Macaca fascicularis: one gene and its partner. The protein of the gene in region 2 interacts with the protein of the main gene of each other region in a biochemical or structural test. Links are inferred from orthologs where the notes say so. Each region holds a gene or a part of one and is shown on either strand. Other genes may lie near its edges.

Region 1 (6,849 bases), on a different chromosome or scaffold from region 2:
GCGGCCCTGCCCCTGCTGCTGTTCCCAGGCTCCAGCTCCCCAACTGGCACCCCCATTGTCCAGCTCCCAGCGCTCCGCCCCATCCTCTGCCATGACCCAGCACCCAGACCTCCTGCCCACCGCCCGGGCTCTTCTCCCCCAGCGGACCTGCCTCCGGCCCACTTACGTCACTGCTCCCATCCTTCGAGGGCGGGCTTTGGCCTTTGCTGTTCTCGGTGGGTGAGTGGCTGGGCTGCACCACGTCAGGCAGGTTTGTATACCCGTTGCTGTCAGCATGCAGCAGGTTCCGCTCCTCTTCAGGGGTCTACAGGACAGAGGGCAGGGTCGGCACGGGGCTGAGGAGGGCACACACAGCTACAGGGGAGGCAGCGGAGGCTCACTCACACGCTGGACCACCATGGTGCCGCCCCCGTATGGGGGCTGGGTCCCGGTGATCTCCTCGACGTCGTGGACCACCATGGTGCTGACGCTGTCTGTATCCCCATCGCTGCTGTGAGAGAGGAAGGTGGGGCCTCTCCAGGTCCTGCCCGTGGCCACAGAAGTGCCAAAGGCAGCAGATGGCAGCCAGAGCCCAGGCTTTTGTCTCTATTCAAAACACAACCTGCTCCACCCTCACGGGGTAGTCCCTGTTCCACCGTGAGGTGCTTCCCTGCATGGCACACAGGGCAGGCTGGCACAGCAGACAGGCACTTGGAGAGGCCACCCCACAACACACAGGGCAGCAGGAGAGAGACAGGAACCTGCACCCTCACCCCACTCTCTAGAGAAGGGCGCTGTCCTCCCTCAGACTTGCCCCAAAGCCCTACCTCTCCCTCCACTGCCACTTCCCCTCCCTCCTTGTGCCTTGGAGTGGGAGGGCCCCACTCCCGATGCCGTACCGGCCCCCAGGGGTGTCTCTGCTCCCCTCTGATGGCCCGCCTTCGCCTTCCTCCTCGTCATCCTCACTGCTCTCCACCTCCTCGCTGGACGATGAGTAGTCCATGGCCTTCTTGGGAGGCCGAGGGGCCTCGTCCAGGGTCCGCTCTTTCAGCAACACGAAGTCCTGCGGGGAGGAGCCACGTGAGGGGCAGGGAGAAGGTGGGCCTGGGTGGAGGCAGACAAAGGGTGCTGGGACACCCCAGCAAGGTGACAGGAGGGGCCCCCACAACAGGCCCATCTCACTAACCTCACCAATTGCTCGCTTATAGCTCTGGGAGGGGCCGCAGGGGAAGAGCGAGCCAGGAGAGATGTTAGGAAAGAGGTTAGAAAAGGTTAGTAGCATGAGAAGCACCAGTCCCTCCATCCCCACAGCCCTTCCCAGTAGATCCGCGGAGACCCCCCCTGGCACCCAGCTCCCTGGGGCTAAGCCCCAAACCAGGATGAGGCAGGCGGTGCCGGCCACCAGGCGACTCACTGCGGGCCGGCCTGGCCGCGAGCGGTGGTCATCGGGCTTGGCTTTATTCCCAGGAGAGAGCACTGGGGAGCTGTCCAGTTTGGAGGAGGCTGGACATGGCAGGGTGGAAGAAGAAAGGTCACTGATGCCTGGACAAGGGATGGCCTCAAGCCCACACCTGGGCTGACCCCTTGCCCCTGAGCCCCAGAACTCAGCCCCGAGTTCCATACCCACGCAGGTCCTCCCTGTCCCTGTGGGTGTCCCAGTCCAAAGCCACCAAAGGCAGGGTCCATCCTGATAAGACTCCAGGCCCAGAGCAGGCTGCCCAGCCCTGGCTCACATACCTCCCACGCGGTTCCGCTCCAGTGAGCCGGCCTGGGGGAGGTGCCCGTGCGAGGCCGGGAGGACACTGTCCGAGCGTTCCCAGCCAGGGTCGCTCCTCCTGAGGTCGGGGTTACTGTTGGGGGGCAGAGTCAGGGTCAGGGAGGCAGGGTGCTCCCCTCTCTGGGGTGCTGAGCTGCACTGCAGAGGGAGCCATCACCAGGGAAGCAGGTGGCAGAAGTGAGAGGTGGGAGTGAGTCGGGGGACGACTCCATTACCTAGAGGCGTTGGGCGGGCCAGGGGGCTGAGCAGGGGGCCCTGGAGGCTTTGGGGTGCCCCGCTCTGCCCGCCTTTGCAGATAGATTTGCCAGGCGGAGTTGCTGCGAGGTCTGTGAAGGGAGCACAGGGGTGCCGAGGGGGCGGGGGGGCGCTGAGGTGATGGGGCTGGGGCTTGCCCACCCCTAGGTGGGTAGGCTGGTAAAGTCCCTGTGCCCCCCTACTCCCTAGGCTGTCCTCAGACCTCACCCAGGCATTGCCCTACCCAGGCATTACCTGGCACGGACTGCCTGGGCTGGCCGGGATCCTCCGGCCCCACTGGTGTTAAGGGCAGTGGCGATAGATGAGGTCCTCTGAGGCACCTGTGGAGAGAAGTCCACGTGCTGCGAGCTGGCGCTGCGACGGGCACTTCAGAGATGTTTGAGCCTCACCTCTGAGAGGTGAGCTCCTCACTTTGATGGATGAGAAAACTGAGGTTCAGGGAAGTTAGTGAATACGTCCAAGGTTATGAAGCTGGGAGATGGTTGGAGCTGCGGTTCTAACTCACAAAGTCTGCCCCTTAGCGGCCCCGAAACACCCTGGGCGTTTCTCCGTTCCCACGCTCCCCAGGGGCATCAATGCCACACCTCCACGTTGCCTCCTCAGCTGGACGGCTGAGCCCCGCTGGGCAGCGCCCTAGCTTTCTCTGGCTTCCCGCCTGCACTCTTCCCCACGCGGCCCCTTCACTGCCCTCCTTCTCCTCATGACTAGTTCCTTGCTTTTCCCTGGGCCCACAGGCTGTCCTTACCTTGGGTGGGGCCTCGTTATCTGGGCGGACCCAGGCTGGGGGGTTCGGGCTGGGGCCAGGTCCTTCAGAGGTGGGGTCTGAATTCTGGCGGATGACAGCTCCTCGGGCACTGGGCGTGGCAGTGGGTGCAGGGATGGCAGGGTCGGGGTCATGGGAGGCTGGGAAGGCAGCCAGGTTTCGGGTGGGCTGGTCCTGCAGGGACTGGGATCGGGGCACAGGTGCTGCATATGGCTTCAGTGGGACCCGGTGCGCCACCAGGCTCTGCAGGGAGAGACCAGGGAGGGTGGACTGCCTGCTCCATGGCAGCTCCCCACCTGCAAATCGGGGTCTGAGGTGGGAAGGGACTTCAGTTGCCGCTTCCTCCATTGAAGGACAAGGGGTTCCTTGAGCCTGAGGACAGCTAAGTCAGGACAGACATAGGCAGCAAGAAGCAGGTGAGTGTGTCTGTCCACATAGCCTGTGCTCTGGAATCCTGGCTCAGGCTGAGCAGGTGTGTGTGTGCGTGTGTGTGTGTGCACCTGGGCTCTGAGCAAAGCTCCCCGTGTCTGCATTAAGACAGGAGTGGGGGGAGACTCACCTTGTGCGGTCCCTCCTGGGGCTCCACCGGCCTCTGCATAGGAGGAGTCTGGGAAAGGGGTCCTGCAGGCCCGGGGGAGGCCTGGGGGATGGAGGGCTCAGGCCCCGTGCTGCTTGGCTTGCTCTTGGCCAAGGGAGAGTTCTGCTGCTTGTTCATCCTTGTTCTCTCTTCTACCTGTGATGTGAAGGGATGTCAAGCAGGCCAGCTCTTGCCTCCCTGTTCTCAAAACTGAGGGTCCCGCCCGCCCTCACCACTCCTGTCCTATGCTGTGTGCTGTGTGCTCCTTTCCCCTGCTCGGTGCCTGTTCCTGTGAACAACCACTGCTTGTGGCTCTCCAGGCCTCAGGCAGTGGGACTGCAGTCTCAGGAGGCAAAGGAGGCAGTGAGTACCTCTCGGGCCCAGGCTGGTTTGTCAGCGGGATTCATGCCCCGACCATAATGGTACAGGGGCTTCCTGTCCCCGGGCAGGAGCTGCTGCTGCTGCTGTTTCTGAAGCTGCTGCTGCTGTTGCTGCTGCTGCAGGGACTTGAGGTAGGCATGCTCCTGCTGCAGCTGCCTCTGGAGACGCTCTGACTGCCGCTGCTCCTCCAGCTGCTTCCGCTTGTATTCCTGGGCCCAAGGGTAGGGAGAGAGGGCTCAGCAGAGTGTGGCCTGGGAGTCAGAGCAGGCATGCCCTCTCTTTTCTCCAACTGCCTAGAGAGGAGATGTATTCCCTTGATGTCTTGGGTGAATCCCTTCCCTTGAAGTGTTCCCATCCCGTTCCAGCAAAGAAGCTCTGAAAAGCATCTTCCCAGAGGACGCTGAGGGACCCGTTACCAGCAGCAGGGCCTGTTCCTGGAGCAGCTGTTGCTGAAGGATCTCGAGCTGTCGCTGCTCCTCCTCTAGCCTGTGACGAATATATTCCTGGGGGGCGGGGTGTAGGGTGGGGGGCAGAGGGCAGGGAAGGAGGAAGAGGCAGAGGAGGGCAGCAGCAGCGAGTTGGAGAAGGAGGAAGGGATCCGCAGGAGGAGGATGAGGGGGTGCAGGGGAAAAGTAAGAGAGAGGTAGGGGAGGGGATGGCATGAGCCCCGGGGGGCCACGCGGCACAGATGGGGAAGAAGAGGGCACAGGGAATGAGGGGGATGAGGAAGGGGCCAGGGAGAATCAGGGATGGGGTACAGAGATGGGAATGAGGCAGGGAAGGAGGAGGGAGGGGGCCAGGGTTGGGGTTGAAGGGTGGGAGAAAACAGAGAGAAAGAGTGAAGCTAGAAAAGATAGGAGGAATCTGGGTGGGGGGGAGAGAAGGGGGAAGGGCACGGGGAGCAGGGGCGGCAGGCAGCAGGAGCAGGAGGGCGGGAGGGCAGGGATGTGGGTGCGGCGCTCTACCTGCTCGCGCTCCGCCTGCCGCCGCTCCTCCTCCCGCCGCAGAACCTGCATGTCCTCCAGCCGCCGCTGCTGCTCCTTCTCCTGCAGCTTCCGCTGCTCCCGCTCCCGCCGCTGTTGCTATGGGGAGAGCCAGGTGGTCTTAAGGACCATACCGGACACCGCGGCAGCACTGTCCCTCCATGGACAGGGAGGGAGCTCTCCTTGCTCACCACGGAGGCTTGCGCTTGTTTCTGTAACTATACCCATCCCCACCCAAGGGCCCGCGGGGCTGGGCTCGGGAAAACAGCCAGTAGCTGTGATGAGAGAGGCTGTGAGACTGACCGCTGCCTGTGGGGTGTGCTTAGCTAGACAACACCTTCCCCTACCCACACCCCACCAAACAAACAAAACCCGAACTCAAAACAAGCATCCCCAGCACTCCTAGCCTAAAACCGACCTTTGCCTGAAGTCCATACAGAGCGGGTCGTAGCGATAGACTTTGGCCACAAGAGGGCACCAGGTGCCCGTGCACAGAAAAGGGACCTGGCCCGCTCCTTGGCAAGCCCCGATGCCCAGGTGGTACTTGACTTTCACGGTATTTCCGATCACAAAGTCTACCACAACCACCACCGCCACCACCGCCTACAACAACAAAAGCGCAAGCCCTAAGGGGCCCTTACACTTGAGGGAACTTGTGCCTATTCCTGCAATGAAGTTGCTGGCACGCCTTCTCCACGCCGTTAGATAGGACTTTGTCACTATGCTATCTGAACGCTATATTTATTTTATTTATTTATTTATTTATTTTTTGAGACAGAGTCTTGCTCTGTTCCCTAGGCTGGAGTGCAGTGGCATGATCTTGGCTCACAGCAACCTCCGCCTCCCGGGTTCAAGTGATTTTCCTGCCTCAGCCTCCCGAGTAGCTGGGACTACAGGCGTGTGCACCACCCACATCCGGCTAATTTTTTTTTGTATTTTTAGTAGAGATGGGGTTTCACCATATTAGACAGGCTGGTCTTGAACTCCTGACCTCATGATCCACCCGCCTTGGCCTCCCAAAGTGCTGGGATTACAGGCGTGAGCCATCGCGCCCGGCCTATATTTTCAAAACTGCACAAGGCTCTTCTGTAGCAGGTTTTCTTGCAAATTATTTTTTGTTCAACAATGAGAGGGCCTGCTTTGGGGGTAGCAGGTGGACAGTGTGGATGCTGCGGGTTATTATTATTATTATTATTTTTGTTGTTGTTGAGACAGAGTCTCGCTTTGTCGCCCAGACTGGAGTGCAGTGGCCGGATCTCAGCTCACTGCAAGCTCCGCCTCCCGGGTTCACGCCATTCTCCTGCCTCAGCCTCCCGAGTAGCTGGGACTACAGGCGCCCGCCACCTCGCCCAGCTAGGTTTTTGTATTTTTTAGTAGAGACGGGGTTTCACCGTGTTAGCCAGGATGGTCTCGATCTCCTGACCTTGTGATCCGCCCGTCTCGGCCTCCCAAAGTGCTGGGATTACAGGCTTGAGCCACCGCGCCCGGCCGGGTTATTACTATTAGTAGTAGTATTGGAGATGGAGTCTCACTCTGTCACCCAGGCTGGAGTGCAGTGGTGTGATCTCTGCTCACCTCTGCCTCCCGGGTTCAAGTGAATCTCCTGTCTCAGCCTCCCAAGTAGCTGGGATTACAGGCACGTGCCACCACACCCGGCTGATTTTTGTATTATTAGTAGAGATGGGGTTTCACCATGTTAGCCAGACTGGTCTCAAAAACTCCTGACCTCAGGTGATCCACCCACCTCAGCCTCCGAAAGTGAGCTACCGCATCTGGTCTATTGCCTATTATTTAGACACATTTTTTGTTAAGTCCAGCTAATCATGAAATTTGAAATCATGTAACTGTTTCAACAGAAATGCCATTGATTTAAGGCATTTTATTTTATTTTAATTCTGAGGCAGAGTCTCACTCTGTCGCCCAGTCTGGAGTGCAGTGGCTGGATCTCAGCTCACTGCAAGCTCCGCTTCCCGGGTTCACGCCATTCTCCTGCCTCAGCCTCCCCAGTAGCTGGGACTACAGGCGCCCGCCACCACGCCCGGCTAATTTTTTGTATTTTTAGTTGAGATGGGGTTTCACTGTGTTAGCCAGGATGGTCTCGATCTCCTGACCTCATCATCCGCACGCCTCGGCC
Region 2 (6,849 bases):
TTAGTGGTCAGGCTGAGGGTTGAGAGGAAACAGATACCAGAGGCCGGAAAGACGGAGGATCATGTTTCATAGTGGCAAAATATCTGGTAAAGCTGTTGCCTATAATAACTTTTCATACAACTACAAGGTCAGTGAGCATACAAAGAGGCTACTGATCTTGTAGTCTTATAAAAGAGTTTGGTAAAGAGGATTTTGGAACTGAGTATTAGCTGCTATTAGATATTTGGCAAGTATTATAAGTAAATGATGAGTTCAAGAAGGAAGTAGCAGATTTGAAAGCAAAAACAGAAGAGAATAGAAAAAGTTCAGAAATTTAAAGCCTTGAAGGACTGGAAAAGCAGTTTGCACCTAGACCCCTAGAGGCAGGATTAAAAGACTGAGCACAGATGCCTACTGAAACTCGTTAGCTAACTAGTGCTTCTGTGGTTAAGACCGTATTAAAGATGTAGCCCTCCCATCAAACCTAATAGCCTCAAATAACCAAATGAGAGGAGGAGGAATAGACACTCTTAAATCTTTGGATGAGTTTACCAATACATGCAAACTTTGGTTGTGGTTACTGACACACAGAATTGATGGAAACCAAACAGACTGGAAGAGGTTTACTAACTTAAAGAAACTGTTTTGTTAAAAAAAAATATTTTTTGGCCGGGCGCGGTGCTTCACATCTCTAATTCCAGCACTCTGGGAGGCTGAGGCGGGTGGATCACGAGGTCAGGAGTTCGAGACCAGCCTGGCCAATATGGTGAAACCTTGTCTCTACTAAAAAATACAAAAATTAGCTGGGCATGGTGGTGTGTGCCTGTAGTTCCAGCTATTCAGGAGGCTGAGGCAGAAGAATCACTTGAAACTGGGAGGCGGAGGTTGCAGTGAGCGAAGATTATGCCACTGCACTCCAGCCTGGGTGACAGGGTGAGACTCCGTCTCAAAAAACAGAAAGAAATTTTTTTTTTCTTAAATTATCCTTAAGTTCATACTAAAAAACTCTTTTCGTCTGTTCAAAATTTAAAACTTTTGGGCCCCCAACTTCTATGAGCAATAAGCTAGCTGAGAAAGATCTGTATGTTCCAAAGGGAAGGTACAACACAAACTTCGCAGGTGGCCAAGGATAATTAAAACAATGGATGAGAGAGTTCCTTCCAAATAAATCAAGGTCCAATCTCCCCTACCTCCACGGCTGGTTGCTTACACAGAATCTGACTAGGAGATTTCAGATTATAGATCAGCATTTGCTGCTTATCTTCCATTATTCTCTTTTTCTAGGAAGAGTGCTTTACTGTGGCCCTTGTGTACTGCGGTGAGTGAGTGAGGGGAAGAGAAAAGGAAGGGAGATAGAGAGAAACAGATACAGTGAGTGACAGACAGACAGAGTACGCACACACGCAGCACACAGGACACATTACTTCATCATATCTGGACCCGATTAAGAGATTACTGGGCATGTGGACCATAGGACCCAAGAATCTTGCCTCTATCACTAATCAGGGCCCAATTTGTTGGCAAAGGAATAACATAATACCATGAACATCTTTCCACAGTAATAGGTGTCATTTATTTATTTATTTATTTTGAGACGGAGTTTCGCTCTTGTCACCCAGGCTGGAGTGCAATGGTGTGATGGCTCACCGCAACCTTCGCCTCCCAGGTTCAAGCAAATCTCCTGCCTCAGCCTCCCAAGTAGCTGGGATTACAGGCATGTGCCAGTATACCCAGTTAATTTTCTATTTTTAGTAGAGACAGAGTTTCTCCATGCTGGTCAGGCTGGTCTCAGACTCCTGACTTCAGGAGACCGCCCTTGTTGGCCTCCCAAAGTGCTGGGACTACAGGTGTGAGCCACTGCGCCCAGCCACATTTTATCTTTTATTCTCTCTCTCTTTTTTTTTAATAGAGACGAGGGTCTCGCTATGTTGACGAGGCTGGTCTCAAACTCCTGGCCTCAAGTGATCCTCCCATCTCGGCGTCCCAAAGTGCTGGGATTACAGGCGTGAGCCACCATGCCCAGCCAGTGTCACGTTTGTTTGATTCTAAGCATGCTTTTCTACATTTTAATATTTCTAAAATTTAGGGCCAGGTGCAGTGGCTCATGCCTGTAATCCCAAAACTTTTGGAGGCTGAAGTGGGCGGATCTCTTGAGCCCAGGTGTTTGAGACTAGCCTGGGCAACAAAGTGAGACCCTATCTCTACAAAAAATAGAAAAAATCAGCCAAGTATGTTGGTGTGCACCTGCAGTCCCAGCTACTGGAGAGACTGAGGTGGGAGGATCAATTGAGGTGAGAGGATCAATAGAGCCCAGGAGGTCAAGGCTGTAGTGAGCCGTGATTTTTGCCACTACACTCCAGCCTGGGCTGGAGTCAGAGCAAAACTCTGTCCCAGAAAAAAATAATAATAATAAATAGAGTACATCTTAAGATCAACCCTTGGGCCCCCAACTTCTATGAGCAATAAGCTAGTTGAGAAAGATTTGTACCTTCCAAAGAGAGAATACTCACCCAACACACACTTCACAGATGGCCAGGGATGATAATTAAAACAATGGCTGAGAGTTCCTTCCAAATAAATCAAGGTCGAATCTCCCCTCCAAAGCAGAGAAGTTCTAGAGTAGCAGTCATTGCACATGCCTAACTTAACCATAAAATAAAAGCCGAAATCTTTGTTACCTCAATTGTATTATTTTCTTTTTTTGTTTTCTTGAGACAGAGTCTCGCTCTGTTGCCCAGGATGGAGTGCAATGGCACCATCTCGGCTCACTGCAACCTCTGCCTCCCAGGTTCAAGCAATTCTCCTGCCTCAGCTTCCCAAGTAGCTGGGATTACAGGCATCCACCACCACACCCGGCTAATTTTTAGTACTTTTAGTAGAGATGGGGTTTCACCATGTTGCCCAGGCTGGTCTCAAACACCTGACCTCAGGTGATTCACCTGCCTTGGCCTCCCAAAGTGCTGCGATTACAGGCATGAGCCACCATACCCGGCCAATTGTAATATTTTCATTGGCGGCACCATATATGATGCTCAAAATGTTTTTTCTTTTTTTCTGTTTTGTTTTTGTTTGTTTGTTTGTTTTTGAGAAGCAGTTTCTCTCTTGTTGTCCAGGTTGGAGTGCAATGGCGCAATCTCAGTTCACTGCAACCTCTGCCTCCCGGGTTCAAGCGATTCTCCTGCCTTAGCCTCTCAAGTAGCTGGAATTACAGGCATGTGCCATCATGTGTGGCTACTTTTTGTATTTTTAGTAGAGACAGGGTTTCATCATGTTGGCCAGGGTAGTCTTGAACTCCTGACCTCAGGTGATCCACCTGCCTCAACCTCCCAAAGTGTTGGGATTATAGGCATGAGTCTCACTCTGTTGCCCAGGCTGGAGTGTAGTGCCATATGCTGGCTCACTGCAACCTCTGCTTCCCAAGTTCAAGTGATTCTCATGCCTCAGCCTCCAGAGTAGCTGGGACTACAAGTACCCACCACCACACACAGCTAATTTTTGTATTTTTAGTAGAGACAGGGGTGCGCCATGTTGGCCAGGTTGGTCTTGAGCTCCTGACTTCATGTGATCCATCCATCTCAGCCTCCCAAAGTGCTGGGATTACAAACACGAGCTACTCGCCTGGCTATTATTACTTTTGTAAATAGAGATGGAGAGCTTGCTAGGTTGCCCAGGCTGGTGTCAAACTCCTGAATTCAAGTGTTCCTCCTGCCTCAGCTTCCCAAAATACTGGGATTACACCATGCCTGGCCCACAAAATGTTTTGAAAAGGTTCCATTGTGATATAGTATTGTGCACTCAAACTGTCATTCAATAGACAATGCAATTAAAGCCATAATTATTAAATTCAAGCAAGATCACAGAATTTTCAAAGGTAAGAGACTCAAAATCTGTCAAAACTTTTACAGTTATCTTCAGAGGAAGCTGTTTAATTAGAAGAAAAAAAAAAAACTAAGCAAAAAGGAAAGCAACATCCCAGTATTCTTCATTATACCTTAAAATTATACACACAATCATAAAGACAACATAGGTTAAGATAATTAACTAGCATTATGAAAAGCAGCCTGTTATCATGATGTTGCATTAACTACCCAAAGTAATTCAGAAGAATCCTAGATTCTGAATGTGAATAAGGCTGAGACTCAAACTTTATTGTGATGAAAATGGTATACAATTGAACGAATAAATGTATGCTACTGATTATTAATAAAATCTTTATGTTTACTTTCTGCCCGCTAAAAAATTGCTACTAAATAGACGGCTCATCTTAGAGTTAGTGGCATTTCAGAACTGAGAAAATATGATAGTTCAACCTCATTCCTTTAAATACCTTGATATTGGCCGGGAGCGGTTGCTCAAGCCTGTAATCCCAGCACTTTGGGAGGCTGAGACGGGCGGATCACGAGGTCAGGAGATCGAGACCATCCTTGCTAACACGGTGAAACCCTGTCTCTACTAAAAATACAAAAAACTAGCCGGGCGAGGTGGCGGGCGCCTGTAGTCCCAGCTAATCGGGAGGCTGAGGCAGGAGAATGGCGTAAACCCGGGAGGCGAAGCTAGCAGTGAGCTGAGATCCGGCCACCGTACTCCAGCCTGGGCGGCAGAGAGAGACTCCGTCTCAAAAAATAAATAAATAAATAAATAAATAAATACCTTGATATTGAACTTCATCATGTATATGTACTATTTTTATTTTATTTTTTTTTTTTTTTGAGACGGAGCCTCACTCTGTCGCAGGCTAGAGTGCAGTGGTGCCATCTCGGCTCACTGCAACCTCCGTCTCCCGGGTTCAAGTGATTCTCCTGCCTCAGCCTTACAAGTAGCTGGGACTACAGGCGTGCGCCACCACACTCAACTAATTTTTGTATTTTTAGTAGAGATGGGGTTTCACCATGTTGGCCAGGCTGGTCTCGAACTCGAGACCTCAGGTAATCCGCCCACCTTGGCCTCCCAAAGTGCTGGTTACAGGCGTGAGCCACCACGTCTGGCCAGATGTACTATTATTTATAAATCCCTGACTGATGGACATTTAGGTTGTTCCTCATTTCTTTGCTAATGTAAAATAATACTGCAAACTGATAACTTCAATTATACTAGTAATATTCTAGTTCTGAGGACAGGTGGTAAGTTCATGGATGTTCATTTTATTATGCTTCATAGTTTAATAAAATGAACATATATATAATATATATAGCCTATTCCTTGCACATAACAAAAATTGTGAACAAAAAAAAAAATTGCTGCAATAAAAATTCTTGTGCACACATTGCTGAGCATTTTCCTTAAAATAAATTCCCAGAAGTGGAATTGCTGGATCAAAGAGAATACTTATTTAAAATTCTAATATTTATTGTCAGACTGCCTTCTAGAAAGTTATACTAATTTTATAATCCCCACAACAAGGTATGGTTAATACTGGCATTACTAAATCTCAATAATCTTTGCTGCTATGTCATGTGAAAATTCAAATTATTACTAGGCAAAGAGAATTTTTAAAATAATTATTCAAAGCAAAACTGTTCACCTTTTTAACCCACACTACAATGGGGCCAGATTCATCTTAATAAACAATTCTGATCATGTCACCTACCTACTCCATAACTTTCAATGACTTTTAACCTCATGGTTAAAGTAAGAGCTCTGGAATCAAACTGCCTGGGTATGACAAATCGCCATTTTTTTTAAAAAAAAGTTCAGACCCTCATCAAAAATACAAACATCAACAAACAAGTATCACTGATTAGTTTGTCCAACTTAGGGGAAAAAAATGGTACCATTACATAAGATTTCAAAGTGTTAACTTGGGTTGAATTAAGTTTATCAGAAAAGTACCCTGGCTGGGTGCAGTAGTGCACCTGTAGTCCCAGCTACTTGAGAGGCTGTGGTGGAGGATTGCTGGAGCCCAGGAGTTGGAATCCAGCACAGGCAAGATAGCGAGTTCCCATCTTTAAAGGAAACTGCATACTGATATTTTCTTCAGTTCACTTTCTAATAATTGTCAGATCAAAAGTGAAAGCAACACTGTATCTTCATGCTGAAAAATGATTGCTGTTTCTACTTGGCGAAAATGTTATTCAATGACTAATTAACTTTTGTGATGTATAACAATCTCCCATTAATATAAATAAAACATCTAAAATAACTAAACAACCAGGGTTAGAACCGTTCCAAAGACTATTTACACAGAACAACAAGGACTTGCAATAAAAACAAAACAAAAATAAAAACGACCCATACAATGAAAGCCAGATATTATACATTAAAAATGTAGTAGAAGTATTTTTTGGTGAGCAGCAAGACATATTTAATCAATATTTAGGCACAGAATGCACCATTCCAAGCATGGACCATGATCTAGTTTCTTGCAGTAGCAGCCAACTGGACTAACACAGTGCTACTTCTTTTACTGTTCAATCAAATTCCTCCACTGCCTTAGGGAATCAACTACCCTACTTTACCGTCAGAGATAAGCTTCGTTTTCGTAGCAGAGAACATTCATTCCAATTATAATGTCCTAGCTTTTCTTCCTCATGGAGGAAATTTGATAAAAAATTTTAACCTTCAATAAATAATTCATAAAGGTCTGACAAGTTTCATGATCGCTAACATTCAAATCCATTTCCAAAACTGGAGTTATACAATATACTTCTGTGCATGAGATTATACTTATTGTTCACTAGATTTATGAATAACTTCTGGAGGACATGTTTTAAAAGTCGTATTAACATATGAGTTGGCAAACATTAAATTTTGTTCCCTTAGAAATTGACAGAGAAGTCAGAACAGTGATAAATCAAGTCATCTGAGAGTCACTGTTCCCTTAATTGTCGTTCTTTCATTTGCTGTATTTATATACACACTGCTACTCCATAA

What was found.
Region 1: of the proteins of LATS1 (region 2) and MINK1, one has a biochemical effect on the other in vitro, tested with the Homo sapiens proteins (2 studies listed by BioGRID). The link is inferred for Macaca fascicularis from reciprocal best matches to the Homo sapiens genes LATS1 and MINK1.

What each region holds. Positions count from the first base shown.
Region 1 is NC_088390.1:4,994,738-5,001,586, reverse strand, and holds part of MINK1 (misshapen-like kinase 1), read right to left. Parts: intron 4,815-6,849; coding exon 4,698-4,814; intron 4,236-4,697; coding exon 4,149-4,235; intron 3,942-4,148; coding exon 3,723-3,941; intron 3,508-3,722; coding exon 3,334-3,507; intron 3,018-3,333; coding exon 2,757-3,017; intron 2,332-2,756; coding exon 2,246-2,331; intron 2,083-2,245; coding exon 1,972-2,082; intron 1,830-1,971; coding exon 1,717-1,829; intron 1,483-1,716; coding exon 1,394-1,482; intron 1,190-1,393; coding exon 1,166-1,189; intron 1,043-1,165; coding exon 879-1,042; intron 491-878; coding exon 385-490; intron 305-384; coding exon 167-304; intron 1-166. UniProt on the Homo sapiens protein: Serine/threonine kinase which acts as a negative regulator of Ras-related Rap2-mediated signal transduction to control neuronal structure and AMPA receptor trafficking.
Region 2 is NC_088378.1:57,698,241-57,705,089, forward strand, and holds part of LATS1 (serine/threonine-protein kinase LATS1), read right to left. Parts: intron 2,619-6,849; 5' UTR 2,617-2,618; coding exon 2,490-2,616; intron 1-2,489. UniProt on the Homo sapiens protein: Negative regulator of YAP1 in the Hippo signaling pathway that plays a pivotal role in organ size control and tumor suppression by restricting proliferation and promoting apoptosis.